Drosophila melanogaster: one gene and its partners. The protein of the gene in region 2 purifies or fractionates together with the protein of the main gene of each other region. This does not show direct contact. Each region holds a gene or a part of one and is shown on either strand. Other genes may lie near its edges.

What was found.
Region 1: the proteins of loqs (region 2) and r2d2 purify together in Drosophila melanogaster (affinity purification with western blotting, with the first as the bait; one study listed by BioGRID). This does not show direct contact.
Region 3: the proteins of loqs (region 2) and AGO1 purify together in Drosophila melanogaster (affinity purification with western blotting; 4 studies listed by BioGRID, with this or other methods). This does not show direct contact.

The regions. Positions count from the first base shown.
Region 1 is NT_033779.5:7,798,358-7,802,653, forward strand, and holds r2d2 (r2d2), read left to right. Parts: upstream 1-1,789; 5' UTR 1,790-1,895; exon of another isoform or gene 1,896-1,988; 5' UTR 1,989-2,145; coding exon 2,146-2,290; intron 2,291-2,363; coding exon 2,364-3,154; 3' UTR 3,155-3,741; downstream 3,742-4,296. Other genes in the region: Herp (Homocysteine-induced endoplasmic reticulum protein), read right to left, coding at 1-266, 952-1,155; Cdc14 (cell division cycle 14), read right to left, coding at 4,130-4,296.
Region 2 is NT_033779.5:13,381,004-13,386,219, reverse strand, and holds loqs (loquacious), read right to left. Parts: upstream 3,569-5,216; 5' UTR 3,433-3,568; intron 3,325-3,432; 5' UTR 3,281-3,324; coding exon 2,556-3,280; intron 2,484-2,555; coding exon 2,198-2,483; coding exon of another isoform or gene 2,129-2,197; exon of another isoform or gene 2,055-2,128; intron 1,694-2,054; coding exon of another isoform or gene 1,564-1,693; coding exon 1,426-1,563; intron 1,399-1,425; exon of another isoform or gene 1,237-1,398; coding exon 988-1,236; 3' UTR 549-987; downstream 1-548. Other genes in the region: Ing5 (inhibitor of growth family member 5), read left to right, coding at 1-121, 184-285; beta'COP (coat protein (coatomer) beta'), read right to left, coding at 4,039-5,216.
Region 3 is NT_033778.4:13,955,035-13,959,968, forward strand, and holds the start of AGO1 (Argonaute-1), read right to left. Parts: upstream 3,056-4,934; 5' UTR 2,928-3,055; intron 2,317-2,927; 5' UTR 2,139-2,316; intron 647-2,138; exon of another isoform or gene 566-646; coding exon of another isoform or gene 383-565; exon of another isoform or gene 375-382; coding exon of another isoform or gene 181-374; intron 11-180; coding exon of another isoform or gene 1-10. Other genes in the region: mRpL53 (mitochondrial ribosomal protein L53), read left to right, coding at 1-10, 181-374; CG33155 (uncharacterized protein), read left to right, coding at 383-565; Rpn13 (regulatory particle non-ATPase 13), read right to left, coding at 3,611-4,364, 4,534-4,934.

The DNA of each region.
Region 1 (4,296 bases), 5.6 Mb from region 2:
CCCTGCTGTGCCTGCTGCTGATGTGGAGCATGACGTTGTCGCAGCTCATTTGCATTCCCAGTGACCTCGGGCCCAGCTGGAACCGCATCCTTCTGCGGAACAGTGGGGGCTTTGGCAGCCGGCCTTATCACTTGCTTGCTGGCACACACCAAGTGAAATATGTGGTGCTGTTGGTAGACATCCTTGTAGCTGCGTATCACCTCAGATATCTTTTGGGAGTCATCTAATAGCTTGCCCGAGTAAATAAGTTTCTGGTCCTGGATTAACTACAGAAAAAATGGAAAGAAATAGTTATAGTGGTCAAAACATAAAACATAAAATTTCACATTATAGGTATTCAGAGGGAACCTAGAGATAACTCATTGTTGCTTTTACCTCCGCGCGAAATTTATACTATCAAACAGTGCCTAAATCTATTTATTTGCACACTCCAAGAGATAACAACTTGTACTTGTCAGTTGACTTTATGGAAATGATACTTGAAACTAAATAAATTTTTATAAATTCTACTTGATTTGCTCTGGAAATAAAGAGTGCTAATGTATTTTTTCTGCCTGCAATGATCTGAATCTTTAGTATATATCAGTGATATTGATATGTGGGATGTACATATGTACATAAAAAACTTGGCACATGAGTGGAGCGTGAATATGTCCAAAAATCTTATCACTTTCTAACCGTAACCAAATTAATCCCAGTTCCCAGTTCCGACCCATCGATTTGGCATAGACCAAGTGCATGACGCAAGTGCATGACGGCGACTATAATTTAGAGGAGCAATCCACTGACGTGTACTTGCGACTAAGACGCAAATAGCTTTGGGAACCGACACACCTATGAATCCTAAACGAAGATGATAAACAATAACAAACTTCTCGATAAGATAATGGGGCTCCTGGCCAGTTTTCTACCTATACGATAACAAGGGGGGGAACCAACTCGATAACCCACCGGTTTGCCAGGATAGATAAGAGATAGGTGCTTCTTCAGCCTCTGGACCGTCCAGCAGAGATCGGAGTCCACATTGAGATCCTCATACTGCTGGTTGGACGACTTGATGAGCAGCCGGACACTGGTTTCCGGATTCTTTTGACGGGTGGCGGCATCGCAGCCCGCGGCTGTTGCGGCTGCGGGTGGGGCGGCGTTCTCCTCCATCTGGCTGACCCCGCGAATCGGAGAACTTTCTATTGCTAATTAATGACCGCGATACGAAGATCGGTGATGGGTTTTTGCTGCGCTAGCGGGGACACTTTTTACGCAGCCACTGTTTCTCACTTCCTACTCCGCTCTGCTCTCTGCGTATTTTCGAGAAATAGTTTATTCTGAATTTGACATTTAATTTGGTATTATGCTATTGTTTGGTTTTCAACAGCTGTTCGTTCTGTGGTGTTTTGCTCGCAGCACAGAGTTATTGATTATGAAACGCAGTAAACGTTCCGCAGTTGATCAAAAACTACTCTTCATTTGGTTCTGACCTGTGGCAAGTGATGAGCGTCGGTCACAGGGCTGCCGCGAGTAGCAGGTATTTTTAAGTCGCAGGTTGCACAAACAGCTGAGAATTGATTTTCCAAAGTGTGTGGGATGTGGCAATTTAAGTACACAGTTGGAAAATATTAAAGTCGTTGCTCAAACACTTGGTTTTAGTGTTTTTAGAATTTATTCCTTTGAAAAATATACGGTATCTAGTTATTTGCAGTTGTGGATTTTGCTCATCACTGACAGCAACACTTGTTAATGCCATATACTACGCAACAGGGTTGCCTTGACTTACGGGGATGCCAACTCGCGTCATCGTGACGTGTCGATTATGTATAACACTTCAGACGTTGAACTTTGAATGAAAACACCGAATAGCATATAAAATGCATTTGCTCCTTAGTAAAAAAGTTAAGAAGGTTTGCCGCTGTTTTCGTATTCGAATTACGAATTCAATACTATTTCGTGAAAATATTTTTTTGACAAAGCGGCATAAAATAATTCATTTACAGATGTCTTCGTCAAGATTTCCTATTCTATCGTTGCCGCTTCGTGATTCGCGTGCCATCTCTAATAACATTGCAGTGCTTTAGATATTTTATAAATTATATATATGGTTATATTCTGTTGAATGTTAGCACGTCCGACGTGCCTTTTCCCCTTGAACTCATGGATAACAAGTCAGCCGTATCTGCTCTACAGGAGTTTTGTGCCCGGACACAGATTAATCTACCAACATACAGTTTTATTCCCGGCGAAGACGGAGGGTACGTCTGTAAAGTTGAACTATTGGAGATAGAGGCCCTTGGAAATGGTAAATTTAAATTACAAATCTCAACCACTATTTATATTCGTATCTAAACCGCCACATATTTATCCAATTCTAGGGCGTTCGAAGCGTGATGCCAAACACCTGGCTGCCAGCAATATCTTGCGTAAAATCCAACTGCTGCCCGGCATACACGGCTTGATGAAGGATTCGACTGTGGGTGATCTGGATGAGGAACTGACTAACCTCAACCGGGACATGGTGAAGGAGCTGCGTGACTACTGCGTCCGCCGCGAGATGCCACTGCCCTGCATTGAGGTAGTGCAGCAAAGCGGCACCCCGAGCGCCCCGGAATTCGTGGCCTGTTGCTCCGTGGCCTCCATAGTACGCTACGGAAAGTCGGACAAAAAGAAGGATGCCCGTCAGCGAGCGGCCATTGAAATGCTGGCCTTAATCTCCAGCAATTCGGACAATTTGCGTCCGGATCAAATGCAAGTAGCGAGCACAAGCAAATTGAAAGTTGTTGATATGGAAGAATCTATGGAGGAATTGGAGGCATTGCGCAGAAAGAAATTTACCACCTACTGGGAGTTGAAGGAAGCCGGGAGCGTAGACCATACAGGCATGCGGCTCTGCGACCGACACAACTACTTCAAGAACTTCTATCCTACCCTGAAAAAGGAGGCCATTGAGGCCATCAATTCAGATGAATACGAGAGCTCCAAGGATAAGGCTATGGACGTAATGAGCTCTTTAAAGATAACACCCAAAATCAGTGAAGTGGAATCTTCATCGTTGGTTCCCTTGCTTAGCGTCGAGCTTAATTGTGCATTCGACGTGGTCCTTATGGCAAAGGAGACCGATATCTACGACCATATAATAGACTATTTTCGCACCATGTTGATTTAATGCGTATAACATTTATTCAACTATTCTAGCTTAAAACTAAGTAAACTCGTTTTATTTACACTCTAGAATGCACATATTTCATTTAATCTTACGATTAATACAATCTCCACCAATTTGTAGGTGGGAAACATAAAAAAATTATTTTCAAGGTCTTTTAGTAAACATCTATGTTAACTTTGTACACGATTGAGATAGGTGTAAAAAATCCAAGGAAATAAGTAAGGGGAGTGGGTACAACAACTTTTACTTTCGAGAAGGTATAACATAATGATATTATTAATTACTTTTCGATGCCAATACCAATGTTAATTCTATTAAAATGTAAAGTATTTATACGGTCCGAACTTATTGTTTGCAACAACTGATTATAAAATATTTGAAGCAATTTACATAAATATGTATTGCACAGTGAAATTAAAAATCTGAACATTTGCCTTTAAAAGGAATGCTAGTAATCAAAGACTTACTTGAAACAAATATTTTAAATAATTTGACGGAAAAAAATGGTAAAAATGCTGCATTTCTTTTTTTTTTTACAAGTACAACTTTTATACGAATAAAAGGGGTTTCAGTCTAAAATAAATAAAGTGCTTCGTAGTCTTCAGCATTTTTGATTTTATTTTTACAACACAATGCTAAAATGAAAACTAAGCGTTCCTCTTAAAAACTTTCAACAATGTATTAACAATTTCAATGTCAATTGCTTGCCTTTTAATGGGTTATCTTATATTAGTACAATATGTTAAATAACAAATCCATAACAATTTGAAATGTTTTCCTAAAAAAAAATGTAAGTGTATAAATGAGATTGTTATTGCAAATAATTTCCTAATCAATCACCAAATTTGATTGCATTGGAATATCTAAAAAATCATTGCATTCGCCACATCAATCTCATCATCTCATCGGGAAACGTTCAATTTACTAGTCAAAATAATATTTACACAACTAAAGGAAACAATATATGATTAGTGTTCAATAGCTAATCTTCTTGCGCAGCTTGAGATTGGATTGTTGATGGTCCAGAGACTGTTGTTGTTGTTGTTGCTGTCGCTCCCGATCCCGATCCTTTTCGCTGGACGCACGACTCACACCGCGTACCAGGTGCTGTTGCCACTGGCTGGAGGAGGGCGGCGCCGTGG
Region 2 (5,216 bases):
CCACACGGCCGCCACTCATCCCAGCGACGTTATGGACATGCCCGTCGATCCCAATGAGCCCACATATTGCCTATGCCACCAGGTGTCCTATGGAGAGATGATTGGCTGCGACAATCCCGACGTGAGTATTCGATTTTGATGTACTCTGTGGTCAGTTCTAGATCTTTCACTCTACCATTTTAGTGTCCCATCGAGTGGTTTCACTTCGCTTGTGTTGGCCTCACCACAAAGCCAAAGGGCAAGTGGTTCTGTCCCAAGTGTACGCAGGACAGAAAGAAGAAATAGATGCAATCCTTTATGATTACTTAGAATACTACTTTAGATTAAGCACAAAATTACCTATTTAAATAAAGCCACGGCTACTATAACTTCAGTATTATATTTGTCAATTTATTTCCTAACTAATTTGTAGTTAAATAATTCCATATCATAAAAGATGTTTTCACAGAATATTTCTAAAGTTGGATTGATTAATTTCAATTCATCAATGCCCTTTAATTCGGAGTTTACAAAGTTTTTCAGCCCAAGGAAAAGAAAACTGCAAAAGTAGCGATTACCAAATACCGATTATATTCATAAGCCTTTTTCCTTCGCAAACTAGCACGTAGTCTACCTTAAACCTAGTTTTATCTGCCGTTTTACGTTTTTCAGAATTTGAAAGCGACTAGAAGATTCCAATATCGATTACACGCTTGTCTGTATTTGCAAGCGTACATACATTCATCGGTAAGTGTAGTACATATATGAACATTTACATATGCAGTTAACAAATACAACTGCCTAATCAAAGGAATCGGTGGAAAAGAAACAAAATATATATATATATATATGTAACATCGCCACTGCATTGAGCCAAAAAGTGGAAAGAAAAGCAATTAGACTGGTGCATTAGTTATCCCGTATCCACTCGGTAATCGCTCTCATCAAATACTCGTGATCGTGGTCGTGGTGTGCGTTCAGATTTTGCTATTCAGTTGGCTGCACCCCCTACTTCTTGGTCATGATCTTCAAGTACTCGAGGGCATTCTGGGCGGCATGCCGCTGGGCATCGGCAGCTGTTGGTCCGCTGCCGTGGCAAACGCCAACGGGCAGCGTGGACAGTTGAACCAGGCACTGGAACTGGCCAGAGAAGGTCTTCTCCTCTATGTCCACATAGGTCACCTCGAACTGGTTCTCCGTGGCGATTTCGCCCAGCAGCTTGATGTAATCAATCTTGTTGTTCTTCAAGCAAGTCTTCTGAAAAAAATACAAATGGAGTCGAATTAGCAGAGTCAAATTAAACTTTGAACTTTCAAGCAAGAACACTATTATTATAAGGATTGTGAGGGGTTAAGGCAAATATGTACTTTCGAAAGCAGGTTTTGAATGTTGGAAATATGTTTGTGATCGTTTTTGAATAAAAAGCGTTATTGGATTGAAATTTACCTGTAACTTAAGCAGTTTTTTGCCCGTTGCATTTTTTAGGGTCTTATGGAACTGGGATACTTTGTTACTGTGCTGCGTGGTCAGTGTCGGCACAGAGATATCTTTCAATTCACCATAATAATTTTCACTACTGCGGGGCTGTAAATAAGAGCGCAAAGTTTTTGGTTTCTTTTCTCCATTGCATTTCGCACACATTTGAAATCACACACGCCAATGGTGAGTTGAAACATATCACTTTTGTGTGGAAAAGGTGCTTTACAGATTCGTTCTTTAAAACAATCACCATGCCAAGGAACAATATGAAAAATGAAAAATGAAATAAGCCAATATAAACCATAAATAAAACCAGAAATATAAATAAGGTGTAAGCATTATGTTAATTATATGTATAATTATGTCAAAAACATTAGTTATAAAAACAAGGACAATAAAAAATATCAGATAGCACACTATAAAAGGGATGCTATAGTACTAAAACTCTAGCTAGATACATAATTTAAAAGATTATAGGGATATTTACAACTGAGGATTACTCTAAACGTTCTACATTACATTTGAGAAGGGATAGAGGACAAACGTATTAAATAATATATAACATTTATGACATATATTTGATAAAATCAATTTTTAAAATTTTATAAACTAAAGCATGGGACTGCATTCAAAATAATTGCACTAAAAATATTAGAAAATTGCTTGTGGGTTAGATCTTGATGAACTCAAAATCTTTAGAGACTTGCTCGTAACGATCGATGTCTTGAATGATACTCACTTCGCCCTCCAACTCGCCGCAGATGCTGTCGCTGATTTTGCCCGAATCGATGGGAGTCTCCTGCAGACGCATCCACATGCGGTGGGCGGCCAAGCGCTTGGCTATCTTCTTGCTTTTGCCCTTGCCCATCTCGCGGTAGTTGAGTATCGAGCAGGCGATCGTAAAGAGCCGCTCGTGGGGAAGACCCACTTCCGTTTCCGTTTCGTACGACGGCGGTGGCCATCGCCGTTGCATGCACATTTCCTGCAACCAGCCAATCGGATTACCAACGGTCTTGTCGCTGGCACTGCAAGGACATAATACAATAAATTGGATATCTTAGAATCATATCTTAGACATCAATAGAATAAAAACTCACTCTCCTCCGCCTGTGGCATTGGCATTGCCGTCTCCTCCGCTTCCGGCGACCGTGAGCCCAGTCACCGACGGACCAGCGGAGCTGCTAGGCGATTCCGGCAGCTGCGCGCCGATCAGCTTGTCGATGAGCGCACGGGCCGCCGCATGCTTGGCCTCCTTCTTCGATCGTCCTGCCCCCATGGCCGTGAAGGGCGTATCCTTGTCTTTAAAGGACACGCGAAACCGGAAGGTCGGCTCATGTATGGCGCCCTCGATCTGGACAAGTTCATAGCCGGGAGTAATTCCTCGTCGGCTTAGCAGCTCTTGCAGAATGCTGACGGGCGTCTTCATGGCCAGTCCATTGGCGTCCGTTTCGCTGACGAACTTTAAGGCCTCGTCGCTGGGCAATATTACGCCCATAAGGCCGACTCCACCTTGTAAGCCCGATCCGCCCGCCAAGGCAGGATCACCAACATCTGACAGCTGCAGCTGACCTGGCTGAGACAGCTGCGCAACCTGGGCGGATATCTTCTCCTTCTTGAGCTTCACATGGCGCTGCCCCAGCGGAGCACCCTTCACCGGACTACCACTGACGGCATTTCCATTGCCCAGGCCGACAAGGTTATTATAGTGCCGCCGTGGAGCAAATCCCGTCTGGACAGGATTGGGGGACGCCTGCTGCGGCTGGATGTGGAGGTTCTGTAGCTGCTGCGGCAAGCTGGAGCCGTGGAAATTCTCCTGGTCCATGGTGTTCTTGTTTTGCACGGTTTTCGGGAGGATTCGGTGTGTATCTGTTTAAAATTTCGGGGTAATTGTTGTTTGAAAAATCGATACATCACCGACGAATAGCGGGCGAAAAGTCCAGTTGACACTCTCGCCGAAATTCGGGGAGTACTCACGTTTGAATCGCGGTTTTAACTGTTTTTTATTTAATAATAATTTATTAATGGTTAGTTAATAATTCATTCTTAAATAAAAAATACAGCAAAATCCAGACGCACACACGAATTGTATGTATTTTACTGATATTTGTGGTTGCCAGACTTTTTTTGGATTGCCTACTTATTACACCCCCTACTCGTAGAGTAAATATGTTGAAATAAATGTATGTAACAGGTACAGAACATTTTTTTGTACAAATATATAATAAAATAGACCATGAATACTAATTTAACTCAAAAAAAAAAAAGAACAAAAATAATTTTTAATTTCTCCTGGCATGATCGTAAGTTTGTTTAAAAGTTTTATCGATAAGATATCAGAATGTAATCGAAATAGTTGAAGTGAGCGCCATATTTGAAATTGTTGTATAAGTATTTATTGCAGTGTTTGCTCCATTACTGTTGTACATATTATTAATAGATATATATTTAAACAACATTCAATCAAATCAAATGTGAATGCATGCGCGGAATTCTGTGGCTCGAAATGCACGAAATGTGGGACTCCCGTAGCAGTAAACGATAGTTTAAATGGTATTCTAGATCTGGCTGTGATCTTCCGTCCTAATCGTCGCTTAGAAAATCGTCATCGAGGTTCACATCTGTCGTATCAATGTTATCATCCAACGTAATTCCATCTATTTCCAAGTCCAGGTCGTCGTCGTCATCCGCAGCGGATGTAGGCTCGGCCACCTGGCTGCTAGAAACAACAGCTTGAGCGGGAACGTAAGCTGGCTTCACCTTCTCCTCCAAATGCTGGCCGGCGGCACCCTGCTCGGCGGCAAATAGTTCTTGCAGAGGATGACGTTCGCTATTCAGTGGTAGATTCGCAGCGAGGCGTGCCGGCGCCTTACGAGCTCGCTCCTCCTGCAAATGCTGCTCCACCCGCAGCGCATCGCCCAGGCCAGGGAAGAGATTTGTATACTGTGCCGGATCGGCCAGCGACTGTCCCGCCTTTTCGTTGACCTTTCCAAGCTTCTCCCGCCAAAGCTCTACGATCCTTGACATCTGGCTGGGCAGGTAGGTGCGGGCAAAGAACGCTGCCTCTGGCAACCGATTTGTCTCAATGAGAATCTCCAAGCAGCGTTCCACGTCTGAACGAAGGAACGCCGAGAGGAAAGCTAGATTGTGATGTCCCTGGGCCGAGCCAGCCGCACCCACCACCTCGAGCAGCTGGGCATCGCCGGAAGCTGTTGAGAGCAGCAATAGACCGCTTAAGTCGTTTGCCTTCTGCATGCACTCTTTAACCAGAGACATGTTGTTCTTGCTAGACGCCACATCTGCCAGCTGTGACCACTTCTGGGAGTTCTCCGACTCACGGGCCAGCTTTAAGGCGATTTCCAAATCTCCGATCTGTAAGGCCAAGTCAAACTTATGGTCGGCATCGGTAGAGACTTGCAGGGCCTGCGACTTAAAGCCCTGTTTCTCCAGAAAATGTGCCACCCTAGTGCGGTGCTCCTTGGGAATGGTCGGTAGCACAACGTCTGCGCGCTCAAAGTCTCTTCGCATAACCGCCGTCTGGTACTCCAGCACGGACAGCTGCAGACAGAAACTGATCACGTTCAACTCCTTATCGCCGAGGTAAATACGATTGTCCTTGGGCACGTAGCCCAGCAGATACATTGTGCGGTCTAAGTGGGATACTGTCACAATCTCGCCGCCCACGTAGTAGTTGATGCGGTTCACCGAGTTGGTATAGATGAAGCAGTCTCCCACCCAAAGTCCTGTTTTGACGCACTCCG
Region 3 (4,934 bases), on a different chromosome or scaffold from region 2:
TCAGCGCAAGGTAAGAATACCTAAACTGGGACAGCTGAAATATCTAACTAAAAGGAACCAAAATACATATGAAATATGTATTGAAAAATTGGTTTCCTTTTAGCGTGGGCAACTAAGTTAACCCTTTTGAAACTGCAACATTCAAAGAGCAAACACTTATTGATATTATATCATTCACAGAACAAGCCCAAGTCAAGGAGATCCGCTTCAACAGCGATAACCTAAACACACTAGAGCTGCTGCAGCTGTGCAACAAGCACGTGTCCAGCTTGGCACCGCGCGAGGAGATCACCAACAAGGTCCTGACCAAGGCGGAGAAACAGAAACTAGCAGGAGGCGCCGGCGGCGGAAAGAAGGCAACCAAGAAGAAGTAACCATCAGGATGGTGAGGAAGCACAAAGGAACACTGGCGGTGATCGAGAAGATCTACCAGGATATACCCGCATTCTCCGACATCTTCACCGAGGAGAGCTTCTACATGTTCGCCTTCTGTTTCGTGTGCGCCACCATTCTGGTGGCCTTCATTCTCTCCCGGTTCATCACCATCAAGCCCGTCGATTTCTAAGCCAATTGTATTGTTCAATTCCGCACACGTACTTTTCAAAATATATATACGCTCTAACATGTAACAAACACTCCGCACTGTATTGTCTTTTTGGCCCGACTGTGCAAAAGGGCAGCGCTCGATTCGATTCGGTCAGCCTGTCGTTTGTTTCATTTTTTTTTCGCCATTCGAAACCAGTTTTTCGGTCCCTGGCAAACCGGAAAATCATCTGCTCCTGCTGCTGCTGCAGCGGCTGCTGTTTGCTGCGCTTGCTGATGTCAGCGGATCGGAGAGCCGCCTGCCGTCCCAAAGCTTATAATCACAATGGGGCGGGAGGAGCCAATGGTAATTGGACCGCAGGAAGTCGACCAAATGGGCCATGCAAAGTGGACGGTGGACGTGGCTGGGGTGGACCACTACAGACTTGTTCATGAATTGTGGCATTAATTTGTTACTGCTCCAAGTGAATGATCATCTGCATTCTTGTAATGACAACAAGGATGCAACAGGCAGTGGAGAAAGCTTCTCTGTTGCCAAGACAGCTGTTGAGATGAATTGAAGTCTTATTCTAATGGGGGAGCAAGGAAGAAAGTGCACTGTGCAGTTCAAGCTTTGAGCTAAAGTTTTGAAATGGCGCGCTCTAAATGTGTGAATATGTACGTATTTGCGACGAAATCGATGGCTGCAACTGGCAACAATCTGTTGGAGTGTGGCAGCTGCAAAAATGGTTGGTGAAAGTTGCCCCAAAAAGCTGCGGCACCCTGTGATTAATAGAATTCTGTTCAGAGTGCCCCCAAGTTCAATGTCAGGCTGCAAGCTTTCTCCCCGCCTGTTCGCCAGCCGTTTTGAAGGAGTCACGTCGTAAAAACTTTCACCACCCACTTTTAAATTTTGAAGTTGCGAACGAGGTATTATAGCTTCGATCATAAGATTGCAAATTGGAGCTTGCGCATTAATAACATAGCAAATTTAAGTTTTTGAAACCGATAAGTTTTTTATACTTATAAAACCTTTTTTTAATATGTCGCTAGAAACGTTAAAAAGCTTTGTTTAATTATAGCATAAGTCCTTACAAATTGGTTTTAAATTACTGGTTTTTGTTATAAGTTAGTAACTCATATAAATTTTAACTCCCCAATGTTTTGATAAGATTTTAATCGGTTTAGGATTGGATCATATAATCCTATCGCAATAACTGTATAAAAGGGTATTATTAGTTTGTTAAAAGTTCAAGAGCATGTAAACCTGTCGACACGAACTTCTTCGTCGATTCGTGACGTAATTCGCGAGGGACGTGGATGGCGGGGATATTAACGAACGAAAGTTCTATTGGAAGCTAAGGATGTGACCTTTCTACCAAAACATAAACACTGTCTGTACGGTCGTCCCTCTCGCACCCCCGCGCTCACACGCTTGGCGCTCTTGAAAATTTCCCAAAGCATATGCTCAGGCGCCATTAGTGTTTTGGTTTCCTGTATTTTTGTTTTTTTTTTTTTTTTATTTTGGGGCACTTCCATTTTACTTGCAGCTCCTGCAGCTGTTCTGGAAGCCTCCATTTGCCGGCAAATTGAAAGATTCATAATTTTGTACTTACCTTATCGCAAAATTGCAGCTGACTTTGGTGTGTGTGTGCGCTTTTATCAGCTTTATCAGCGGCAAATCAATCGTTTTTTTTGGTGAATTCCGTTTAATGGAGGGGAACTCATTAAGGAGTTGAGTGGGGTTTGCGTCTCGACTGGATTTAAACCGTTGCGGACGTTACTTTTCCAGCGCTAATTGGAAGAAACGAGAAAGATAAGTGCAGGAAATGGAAATGGAATTGGTTAAAACGCAGTTTGTGCGGCTGCTGTTGTTGTTAGTGTTGCCAGATCGTTGCGCCGGAGATATGCATGAAATTGCGAGTCCGGGGAGCTTTTTGTTTACTTTGCTATTTGACAACACACACTCTTAAGCAGCTCCTATTTTATTTAGTTTTATTTTTTGCAAGCTTCCAGGCCTGTTTAACAGCGCGCGTGTGTGTGCGTGTGAGTCAAAGGTTGTCGGTGTGCGTTAGGCACTCGACTCTCTCTCTCTCTGTCTCACTGCCCTCTCTCTTCGCGCTTTCTGTGTTTGCTTTGATTTTTGTTTTTGCCGCGGCTTTTAACTTTTTTATGACAACTACTTTGGAGGGAAAAGCTTTCCCCACAGCTCCGCGAAGCAGTCATGCAAAAAAAAAACATACAGGCTGCCACTAGACACACACACCTTCTCACGTCCGCCAAAAGCACCAACACACAAACACACACAGGCACAGAGATTGCTGCAAAATGAAAGCACCAACAACAACAGATACAAAAACATCCAGCCCGCAACGCAAAAATTGGCGAAAAAATATGGCAATTACTGCAGATCTGGATATATCCGGGTTTGATTCGCCTGGCGGAGATCGCTTGAGATCGTTATGTATGAGAATTGAGAGTCAGCTTCGGAAAATTGCGAACGCGCGAGTTTTGCACAAACACAACTTATTTGCTGGCCGTTTTGGAATTGAATAAAATAAATATTGTTGCGTGTGCCTGTGTGTGTATATATCTGTGTGAGACGGCTCTCGCTGAGAGAGCGCGCAATTCGCGCCAGAAAGGGACGACCAGTGTGTTGCGATGAGAGAGCGGGGCAGCGAGCTTTTGTTAGGGGGACACCAACAAAATGACCTTGTCGGGATTAATATTACCGTTACTTCCATATATCCCCCCATTATTAACTTCAAAATTTAAAATAAATTGTACACGTTAGACTTTGTTTTTTTAAATTAAATTAGGTAAGCCAAAAACCCAAGTATAATGAGTATAATGATGCATTCTGAAAAGAGCTGGACGAGTACTTACCAAAACGCGTATCCTTTTATTAAAGTAGTAATATTTTAAATATAAATTAATAAGCCGTTTTGATGTATATCAAACACACAATTAGATAGATAACTACCGATTAACTCCCATTTGAATTTATTTAGCATCCAAAAATCACTCAGCACATGAAAAAATTTGCTTTCGGATTCCATATCAATGACTACCAAGCCGCACACGTAAGCTACTTTTGCTTCTCCTCCTGTTTTTCGGTAGCGGGATCTGTGTTCTCATCGCGGGCCACTGAAGTTGGGGTTTCGGGATCGCTGGCCTTCTTCTCGCTGGCGGAGGGTTTGCCACCCATGGTGGCACCGGGGGGCAGACTCTTCTCCAGAGCACGCACAAAATCCTCTAGATTGCCAGAGAAGGCGGCGGCCACTGCTTCGTTGGACAACTCGAATTGCTTGATCACAGGTCCCAGCTGGGCCGATTGCAGGGCACTGGAGAACTGGGCCAGAGCCTGCTGGAACTGCGGGGAGGTGATATTGTCCTTGATCTGCTGCTTGCGATCATCGTCCACATCCTCCGACTCGGGCAGGTGCACGATCAGCGTCTTGACATGCTCCGGATCGGCAATTATCTGATTGATGGCATCGGCGCCGGGTAGGGCCGTCGATAGGTCAATATTCAGGGATCGTCCTGCGCCATGTTCGGGGGAGAGATTGGATAAGTAGGCTTGGAATGGATTGGCATAGGCTCCGGTCGATTTTGACGCCGTTGTGGTCGATGTGGTTGAGTTCTTACCGGGGGCATCCGCATCAACGGAGGAGCCGGCACCTTCGCCGACCTGCGAGTTCACATTGCTGCTGCTGCGGCTGCTGCCCGATTTCGATGGAGCGCTCGGAGTGCGCGGCACACTGACGTTTTCGGGCGTCTGCAAGGCCGATGCCCCACCGCCACCCGATGAGGAGGTGTTGCGCGACGAGGGCGTCCGGGAGCTGCGGAGAATATAGAAAGGAAAATATTGAAAAAGGGGGTGAACTCAAGTTCTGGCTTCATTCCTTCGATTACATGCTTATAAACAATAAAAACGATACCCTGTAAGTTAAGAAGCTATCTACTTGACTAGTTCTTGGACACTATGGCTGCAAGGGTTTAAATGCTCACTTCATTTGGCCCAGCAGCGAGCTGAGACCACCCATCTGGCCAACGCCGCCGAAGAGCTGCATCAGCTGCTGCTGCGACATGTTGTTGAGCATGTACTGGAGGTCGCCGTCGTTGCTGCCGCCGCCGCCGCGCTGGTGGGCGGATGGAGGGTTGTTCAGCAGCTCGTTGATGCGGCGGCACTGCTCGTCGTCCTTGTCCGTCTTGGGCTCCTGCATCCAGAAGAACATGCGGCGTGTCGATGACTTGAACTTAAGCACATAGACACGGCCCGTCTTGCACTGATCGACGCGCTTGTACTCGAAGTCATCGGGGAAGACGATGAGATCGTCCTCCACCTTGCCGGAGGTGCGATCCTTCCAGCAGAAGTGCATCAGGCCATCGTCACTCTGGGTCATGTAGAC